Oryza sativa Japonica Group: one gene and its partner. The protein of the gene in region 1 interacts with the protein of each later gene in a pairwise test. Links are inferred from orthologs where the notes say so. Each region holds a gene or a part of one and is shown in the gene's direction. Other genes may lie near its edges.

The links.
Region 2: the proteins of E3 ubiquitin-protein ligase BRE1-like 1 (region 1) and protein PEP-RELATED DEVELOPMENT ARRESTED 1 homolog, chloroplastic interact in binary tests that used the Arabidopsis thaliana proteins (3 or more experiments, as listed by UniProt). The link is inferred for Oryza sativa Japonica Group from reciprocal best matches to the Arabidopsis thaliana genes HUB1 and AT5G48470.

Annotation. Positions count from the first base shown.
Region 1 is NC_089038.1:28,062,285-28,066,499, reverse strand, and holds the start of E3 ubiquitin-protein ligase BRE1-like 1, read left to right. Parts: upstream 1-1,415; 5' UTR 1,416-1,787; coding exon 1,788-1,910; intron 1,911-3,512; coding exon 3,513-3,674; intron 3,675-3,754; coding exon 3,755-3,842; intron 3,843-4,215. UniProt on the Arabidopsis thaliana protein: E3 ubiquitin-protein ligase that monoubiquitinates H2B to form H2BK143ub1. H2BK143ub1 gives a specific tag for epigenetic transcriptional activation and is also prerequisite for H3K4me and maybe H3K79me.
Region 2 is NC_089045.1:15,317,709-15,321,774, reverse strand, and holds the start of protein PEP-RELATED DEVELOPMENT ARRESTED 1 homolog, chloroplastic, read left to right. Parts: upstream 1-1,266; 5' UTR 1,267-1,477; coding exon 1,478-1,753; intron 1,754-4,066. UniProt on the Arabidopsis thaliana protein: Plays an essential role in early steps of chloroplast development. May be involved in the redox control of plastid gene expression by maintening the redox state around chloroplast nucleoids.

The DNA of each region.
Region 1 (4,215 bases):
TTGCTTGAATATGTACTATGTATTTTTTTTATTGAATCCATGCATATGATCTAATATATCTAAACGTTAACATCCCTTCATGCAATATTAGAAGAACAAAAAGATACTCTCAATGTATCCATACACCATCCGCCTTTACTTGTAATTGAGTAAAAATAAGTAGAAAATATGGTACTAACAAGCATTGTGCATTTGAACCAACTTTATCCCCAATACGACAATCACATACATCATGTGTGTGCATAGAGGACATGTTTTTTTTTTCATACCATCATGTTTCATCCCCTGTTCCCCACGTGGTATGCTTCTCTAGGACTACTTTTCCTCGACCAAATGGTTCATATATATGTATCTTTGTATTTCTGAACATCTTAGTTTTCATCTTGCCTCTCGACAGTTATCATGCTTTAACCTTCCGTTACCAACCTACCACATTAATGTTATGATCGACCGATATTATCACATGTAGAAACCAGAGTATTGCTCATGTCCGTCATGTGGTAAACACTGAAACCTTAACTAATAGTATTAAGCAATAGATTATTGGCTAACCTCTCTATATTCATGACCAATTCAACTATGGTAAAACAAAATTTAAAATGAAAAAGACCAAGACTACTTCAAAATAACCATATTAACCTTTTCTTAAAAACAAGCTATCTGAGTTAATTAACAAGAGTTGCAACCACATGAACCAACAACTTACTATTGCTTAGTAATATGACCTTGTATGGCACTGATAATCAAAGCTTTACATTGAAAATTGTAATACACTGGATTCACACCGTATAAAAAGAACTTCATATGAAAGACTTATCATGAAGATCAAATAATGCATGTCCTAGGTTCAGGTGCCAGTACTTGCTTATACGCTACTCCCTCCGTCCTATAATATAAGAGATTTTGACTTTTTACTTGCAGTGTTTAACCATTCGTCTTATTCAAAAATTTTTGGAATTTATTTATTTTGTTTATGACTTACTTTATTATCCAAAGTACTTTAAGCACAACTTTTCGTTTTCTATATTTGCACAAATTTTTTGAATAAGACGAGTGGTCAAACAGTACAAGCAAAAAAGTCAAAATCCCTTATATTATGGGACGGAGGGAGTACCTGTTAATTTTAAAAACAATATTTTATCATATATATAACAAAATAAATAATTTGTGACAGTAATCTATATTGAACATTGTCGTTCTCACCATTCTGGGCTGGCTGTTAAAAGGCCGACTGACGGAGGTCCAACCCTATGCCCGCTGGTGTCCACTGTCCACAGAAGCACGGAGTCCGTGCAGCGGGGCGAACAGCCGCCTCCGCCCGAGATAACTCACTCCGCCTCCCCACACGCATATTCTCTCTCCTCTCTGCGCCGTTCGCCTAGCTCTCCTCCCCCCCTTCTCTTCTTTCTCCTCACGGTTCTCACCTCCTCCCCCCTTGACAGTGCACACGCCAAAACCACCGCTAACTCCCACCTCTCGCCCACACCTCCCTGATCCGATCCCTTCCCCCCTACAACCCTAGCCGAATTCCGCCTCCGCCGCGATCCGCTCGTCCCGCGCTCCAATTCCGTCCTTCATCCGCTCTTTGTTTTTTTTGCGATTGTTTTTTTGGGTGCGATTGGTTTGGTGATCCGCGTGTTAGGGTTCGGGAGTCGCCGGGGCGGGGGTTTGGGTGGTGGATTGGACCGGTAGGTGGCCGGGAGGGTTGGCCCTTGTGGTTTCGGGGTTTGGTTTCACCCGCCGCATGTGGAGAATCGGAGGACCTGGGAGAGGTTAGGGTTAGGGTTATGGGGAGCACGGGGGAGCCCGACCGGAAGCGGCGGCTCAGTAGCTCCGTCGCGCCCGGCGGCGGGGCCCCTGTTTCTCCTGCCAAGCGGCTGGCGGTTGCACCCACCTCCGAAGATAAGAAGGTATTTGCGCATCTCGAGCCAGCTCTGTATCGTTTTGAGTTAATGTTTATGGTGGTACCGTGTTAGTACTGTTTGTTTGAGTTCATGTTTATGGTGGTAGTACTGTTTGATATGTTGTTGTATGATAGCTAGATGGTGGCATGGTGACTGATTTTTAGCTGTTTTGTTATGTCATGGAATCCATACATCCGCTAAAAGATCTATTGTGGACTGTTTGAGTATAGATCGATGAGTTTATTCTTGACAAGTGTTTGATGCTTTTGTACTTATGCTGAGCTCTATGCAATTGCAAGTCTTGCTGTGTTGTGGTCGTTAGTGGAAGAAGCCCTATGTATATTGCCTCCTGTCAGAGTGAAAACAAAAATACTAGTAGGAATGAGCTATGCATTATCCGTTTCGGATTCTGCAACTATTGCACGATTGTTTATGGTTCTTTAGAGCAATTGATGTATTCTATAATTATTACTCGGTGATAGATGGGAGGCTGACTTGTGAAATTGTTACTTGACTTACATTGCATTCTTGTTTTCCCGTGTTCATGATAGCAGAAAGTGGCAATTCCTTGGTAAACCTTCGTATTTTGAGTTTTTTAAATGATCTTAGTTTTTTGTGGCTACATTTATGGATATTGAAATGGTTAACTTTGGACTAGTAGCGGATCTAGAAGTTCTCTTGAGCTTGGGCAAACCTAAACGAATGGGCTAGATTATAGGATTAATAAGTATTATTTTTTTGTCAAAAGTAGATAATGGCTGTTGGAGAACTGTGTAGCTTTGGCCTTAGGCTGATGGCAGCAAACATTGGTGTGAGGCTGTGTCTTGACTCCTTTGTTGCTTGCATAGCTGATTTAGCCTCTATTAAAAGAAGCAGATTAAGCAGGGGCATTAAGTGGTAATCCACTGGCTAATACGGTGGAGCCCGGGCACCTGCCCGTGGTGGCCGGGCCCTAGCTCCGCTGCTGCTTTGGACAAATTTAATTTTCTTGCTGGCAATGATACCATAATGTGCCAATGCTTATTTACAATCATAGCGCCTTTTATTTTTCCATAGCATATGCTATTGTTTTTTGATATAGATAAAGGTCTAAATTGGGTCGTTAAATTAATATTAATGAAATTTGTCACCAAGTTACTACTGGTGACAACTGACAATTAATCGCTGTTACTACCGGTGACAACTGGCAATTATTCGCCTACTTTGTTATTTAATTTTACAAGAGGGAAATATGGGAAAAGATTGGTTAAATTTTGGGAGGGATAGGTCAAGGGTATAATGGCATGTTGGATGATACCTTTTATGCGTTTACTCATGTGTTACCGTATTTGGTCCAATATGGAATATCCATGCACAAAACCTTTTTTTTCTTTTGTCCTGTAGCATGAAATGAACCTATTTATCATGTTGGTGATATCATCAGTACGGCTCCTTTTGTGTTTATGTTCTGTTTTGGCTCTGCTCTTCTTCAAGTTGTAAATAAAAGATACTTGAATGTTGGTTCAGCTTTTCTTTTTATGCTTGAATTAGTGATTTCTCTTTGTTGCCAAACACATATCTTTAGTTTTGATTTCGCACACTGCCTACTTATATTGTCTTGTTTGGCAGCTCGATTTTACTGTACTCAAATACAAAAACCAAAAGCTCTCAGAGCAACTAGAAGCCCACAAGTTTGAGTATCGTGCTCTTGAAAATAAATTCGCTGGGCTAAAAGAGAAGCAGAGGACTCATAATGAGACACTTTCCTTGGTCAACAGTTCTTGGGAACAAGTAAGCTATTATTTTGTGCATGTTTTACCAAAAAAGACAGACTTTATAATGTTTCTTCCTGAATCCCTTTATTTGATCAGCTTGTGGCAGACCTGAAGTCAAGATCTTTTTGCAAAAGTGGATCTCCTAATTCCAGCCCTGGTTCAGGGCACAACAATGTACAAAAGGGTATGACTTCCTTTATTTTCTAAAAACATCCCAACTACATTTTCCTAGACAGGTTTTGAAATATGGGAGTGCCATCTACTCCCTCTGTCTCCTCATATAAGGGATTTTGACATTTTGCTTGCACTGTTTGACCATTCGTCTTATTCAAACATTTTTGGAATTAGTTTTTTTGTGACTTATTATCCAAAGTACTTTAAGCACAACTTTTCGTTTTTTATATTTGCACAAATTTTTTTGAATAAGATGAGTGGTCAAACAGTGCAAGCAAAATGTCAAAATCCCTTATATTATGGGACGGAGGGAGTATTTAAGTAGCAAATGATTATCACTATGGAAAAACCTTTTGATCTGGTCATCTTTGTGGTCCATTGCT
Region 2 (4,066 bases), on another chromosome or scaffold:
CAAGATAGATTGCAACCAAATTGCATATGAATGATTAAGCACTCGGATTTGGGGTTTCACAAACCGATCTAGCGGCGAAACTGTTCTTGACAGAATAATCTAAGCAAAACCCGACTCTAAACGATGAAGGCTATTGAATAAATATGATTAAGGACGTCCTAGGGTTGCCCTAGGGCGCACACCCCCTTAGGCTAAGCCCACAACACTATTACAAGGCCCAAAACACAAATCAGATTCGGACTGGATGAGATATGTGGCTTGTTTTGCAGTTTCCCAGCAACTTGGTAGGAATTTTGACGTGGGACCAAATCCATCTGAAGTAGACTCCATATGCTTTCCAACAAGTATTCATGGGCCCCAAAATTCCTTCTAGAACAGTGCGGCTAGATCCGTTTGAAGTTGATGCTGTCAGGAGGCCCGAATCCAAATCCAAAACATGTAGAACTTTATCTCTTGTCTTCTGTGGACCAAAAGTGACGTGGTGAGATGAAAGAAGACTTGGAGAAGGTCTTGGTTTGGTCCCCAATCAACTTCTTCAATTATCCATGCATTCCTTACGCTCGGTCTCTTTTCTTTCGCCCAAACAAGTACCTCTGTAAACAAAAACATACGAAACTCATTATGTAGTAATGTTTGTTCAAATATATAACAAGTAAATCTAACGTAGAACATATGCACCTTTGGTTGATTAATACATAAGGTAGTCTTGGTTATATCCGAGCTAGTTGTGTCCTCATCAACATGTGAGTGCACCTGCTCTCGTCAGCAAAAACCGTTTCCCGAACCACGGAAGGAGTCTTTTCGCATCGGTTTTTAAAGATGGATAAGGTGCTATAAGAGCAGGTACAATAGTAGGCTATAAGCCAGCTATAAACATATTTTAAAGAGATAAAGCAAGAGAGAGAAGAGCAGCGGGCTACAGATCTGTAGCCAGCTGCAGCACGGACTCCAAGACGTAATGTATGTATGATAGGTGGGACCAGTTATTAATAGTATAGTAAACAACTATTGTATAAATTGGTTATAGGTGATTCGAAGCTAGTAGTTGGCTATATAGATTTAAAGCTAGTAGTTGGCTATACTATTAAACTTGCTCAAACCGGTTTTACAGTCGAGGGAGGCGATTCAATCAGGAACAAGACACGAGAGAGGCGAAATGGACTTATTCCCTGTACTGACCATCCCGTTCCGCATTCCCACGGCCCAGCCCACACATGGGAGTCGAATAGGAAAAAGAGAAAAAAAACCACAGCCGCTATGGCCCTCTCAAATCTCTCAATCTCCTCTTATCTTGGGCAGTAGTGGCGCTACCTCTTTCTTCTCTCTATCTCTCAACGAGCGCGGCGCGAGCAAGAGGAGCGCGCACCCCGGCGACATCAGAGCTCGTCGACGCCGGGGACTCTGCGCGGCGGCTAGGGAGTTCGCCCGCCGGAGCAAGGGCTGGGCGGGACAAAGAGAAGAAATCTGCAGCGAACCCATGGCGATTCTGCCCCTCTCGATTTCCCACTCTCTTACCTCCGCCTTGTCCGCCACCTCCTCCGGCATCGGCAGGCCAGTTGCCCGCCTCCTCCACCCGCGGGTCCCCTCCCGTCCCACCGTCATCTGCCTCGCCGCGCCGCCCAAGGTACCCGTCCCCATCGCCTCACCGGCTTCACTAGGGGACGACCCTTCCAAATGGGACCCGGCCGAGTGCGACGCCCTTCTCCGCGGCGGCGAGCAGGTCGCCTCCGTGCTCCAGGAGATGCTCAAGCTGGTACGGGTTTTTTTTTCTTTTACTGTTATTTATTTGGTAGATGGTCCTCTACTATTTGAGAGAAATTGGACATTCTGCCGTTGCCAAAACAGGGTTTGGCTCAAATGTCACTCCCTGGATTGGATTAGTTAAAAAGCCACTTCCAACCGGCCGATGTCAAACCGCTGTTTTGCCATATTTGCCATTTCACAGGAATTCCACCATTTTTCGCACTTGGCCTGACCAAAATACCCTTCGGGCTGCGGTTTGATGTCGGTCACACATACATGGACATCGTATGTTGTACTACTTAAAGTCAAACTACTTTAAGTTTAACTAAGTTTATAGATAAATATAGTAATATTTATAATACCAAATTAGTTTTAGTAAATCAATAATTGAATATATTTTCATAATAAATTTGTCTTGGGTTGAAAATGTTATTATTTTTTCAACAAACTTAGTCAAACTTAAAGCAGTTTGACTTTGACCAAAGTCAAAACGTCTTATAACCTGAAACGGAGGGAGTATTATTCATGAACTTTGCAATTCTTTTTTCCACAATGATTCCCTCAAGAAAAGCTAGCAATATGACGGATCAGCAGGACAATCATATGCAGCATATCAAATCAACCAAAGCAAGCAAGAAAAGCATCAACGCATTTGGGCAGCTTTACCTGGTGAAACCCAGATTGATGAGGAACCCGCACCGCGTGACCGACTTCAGCAACAAGTCCTAATAGAATCAGGCCGAGGCAACATCCTCTCCACCCAGAGGTGATCGACGCTAGGAACCACCGCCACGTCTGTGGCCGTAGCCATACCCATATGAGGCCGATGAGGAGGAGGAGGAGGAGGAGGTGGTGGCATGGCTGTAGGAGGAAGAGGAGGACGAGCGAAGGCGGAGGTCATAATCAGCGTGGAGGTGGTCGTCGGAGTGGACCCTGTAGGCCTGTACGCGTCGGAGGCGAGGCGAAAGTGGCGCGCATGGCTGCGTCGGGGGAGTGGGCGTGGCGGTCCGGCTGGTCATGGAGTGCACCGCGGCAGAAGGTGGCCTTCACCTCGGCCGTGGTGGCGTCCCGCCGCAGCCCCAACGTTTGGTAGTGGTCGCTGCCCATTGCTGGCGCCTATCACCGAAGGGGTATTTTGGTCAGACCAATGGCTGAAAATGGTGGAAATCCTATGAAATGGCGAATATGGCAAAGCGGCGGTCATGGTTTTAAAAGCGTCGCTTAAGCGTTGCCTAGGCGTCTGAGCGCCATCAGGGAGCAGAGCGTCCCCACTGCCTACCCTTCTACACGTCTTGGATCCTAATATCTCGTGAAATCAGGTAGACACGGGCAAGGTGGGGGTCAAGGGCGCATGCGCTGTAGGGAATTACACATGCTGGGAAGGAAATCGCGTGAAGATATGATGGAAATCGCGTGTGCAGCAATTTAGGGAGGGAAGAGTGAAAGATGGAAAGAGAATAGAGAATAGGGGTGCGCCAATTTAGGGAGAGGGAAGGGTGAAAGATGGAAAGCGAATAGATAATAGGGTGGGCAGAGATTGGAAAGAGAAGATGGTTGTCTCCCTCTTGCTGCTCCCTTCTTCTCCAATGGATCTGTCTCCCTGCTCTTCCTCGCCCCTTCATGTTCTTCCTCTCTTTTTTGCCTCATATATCTCTAGTATGCCTCTTGTGCTTGTGTTTAAGGCGTCGCCTTACCCTTGCCTTAAACTCTTAAGGCGTTGCCTAGGCAATTGAGTAGGGGTGGGTCGCCTTGCCTCACCTTGTCGCCTTAAGTACACTGGTGGCGGTTTAGCATCGGTTGGAAGTGGCTTTTTAACGAATCCAATCCGTAGAGTGGCATTTGAGTGAAATCCTCTTTTAGCAGTGGCAGAATGTCCAATTTCTCACTATTTGAATTGTGGGTAGTAACTGTCTCGGTTGACAAAATTCTGGGATATTTTAGCTCTGGGTGGTTAATAGATTGGGTGTTTTATTTTCAGTTCTTTGGTGATTAAATACTTTATTGTTTTATTATCCTCTGGTGGGTAGTATATTAGAGCATTTCACGACGAATTGGCCAATAGTTCCCTCGGGAAAAAAAATAATTGGCCATTTGGAAAAAAATAATACATCCTTTGCTGCATCTTTTCACACTTTCTCAAGGTTAGAAGATTATGGATTTTTATTAAATTTTCGAACAACCAGGAATGAAGCAATCTTCAATGATGAATTAGAGAACCTCGGTATGCGATGTGGAATAGCAAGGTTCATGATGCAGCTGAATTATAAGGATTGCTACCTTTGAGGGTCTTAAAGTTGTAAACATTGTATTGTATATTCTTGAT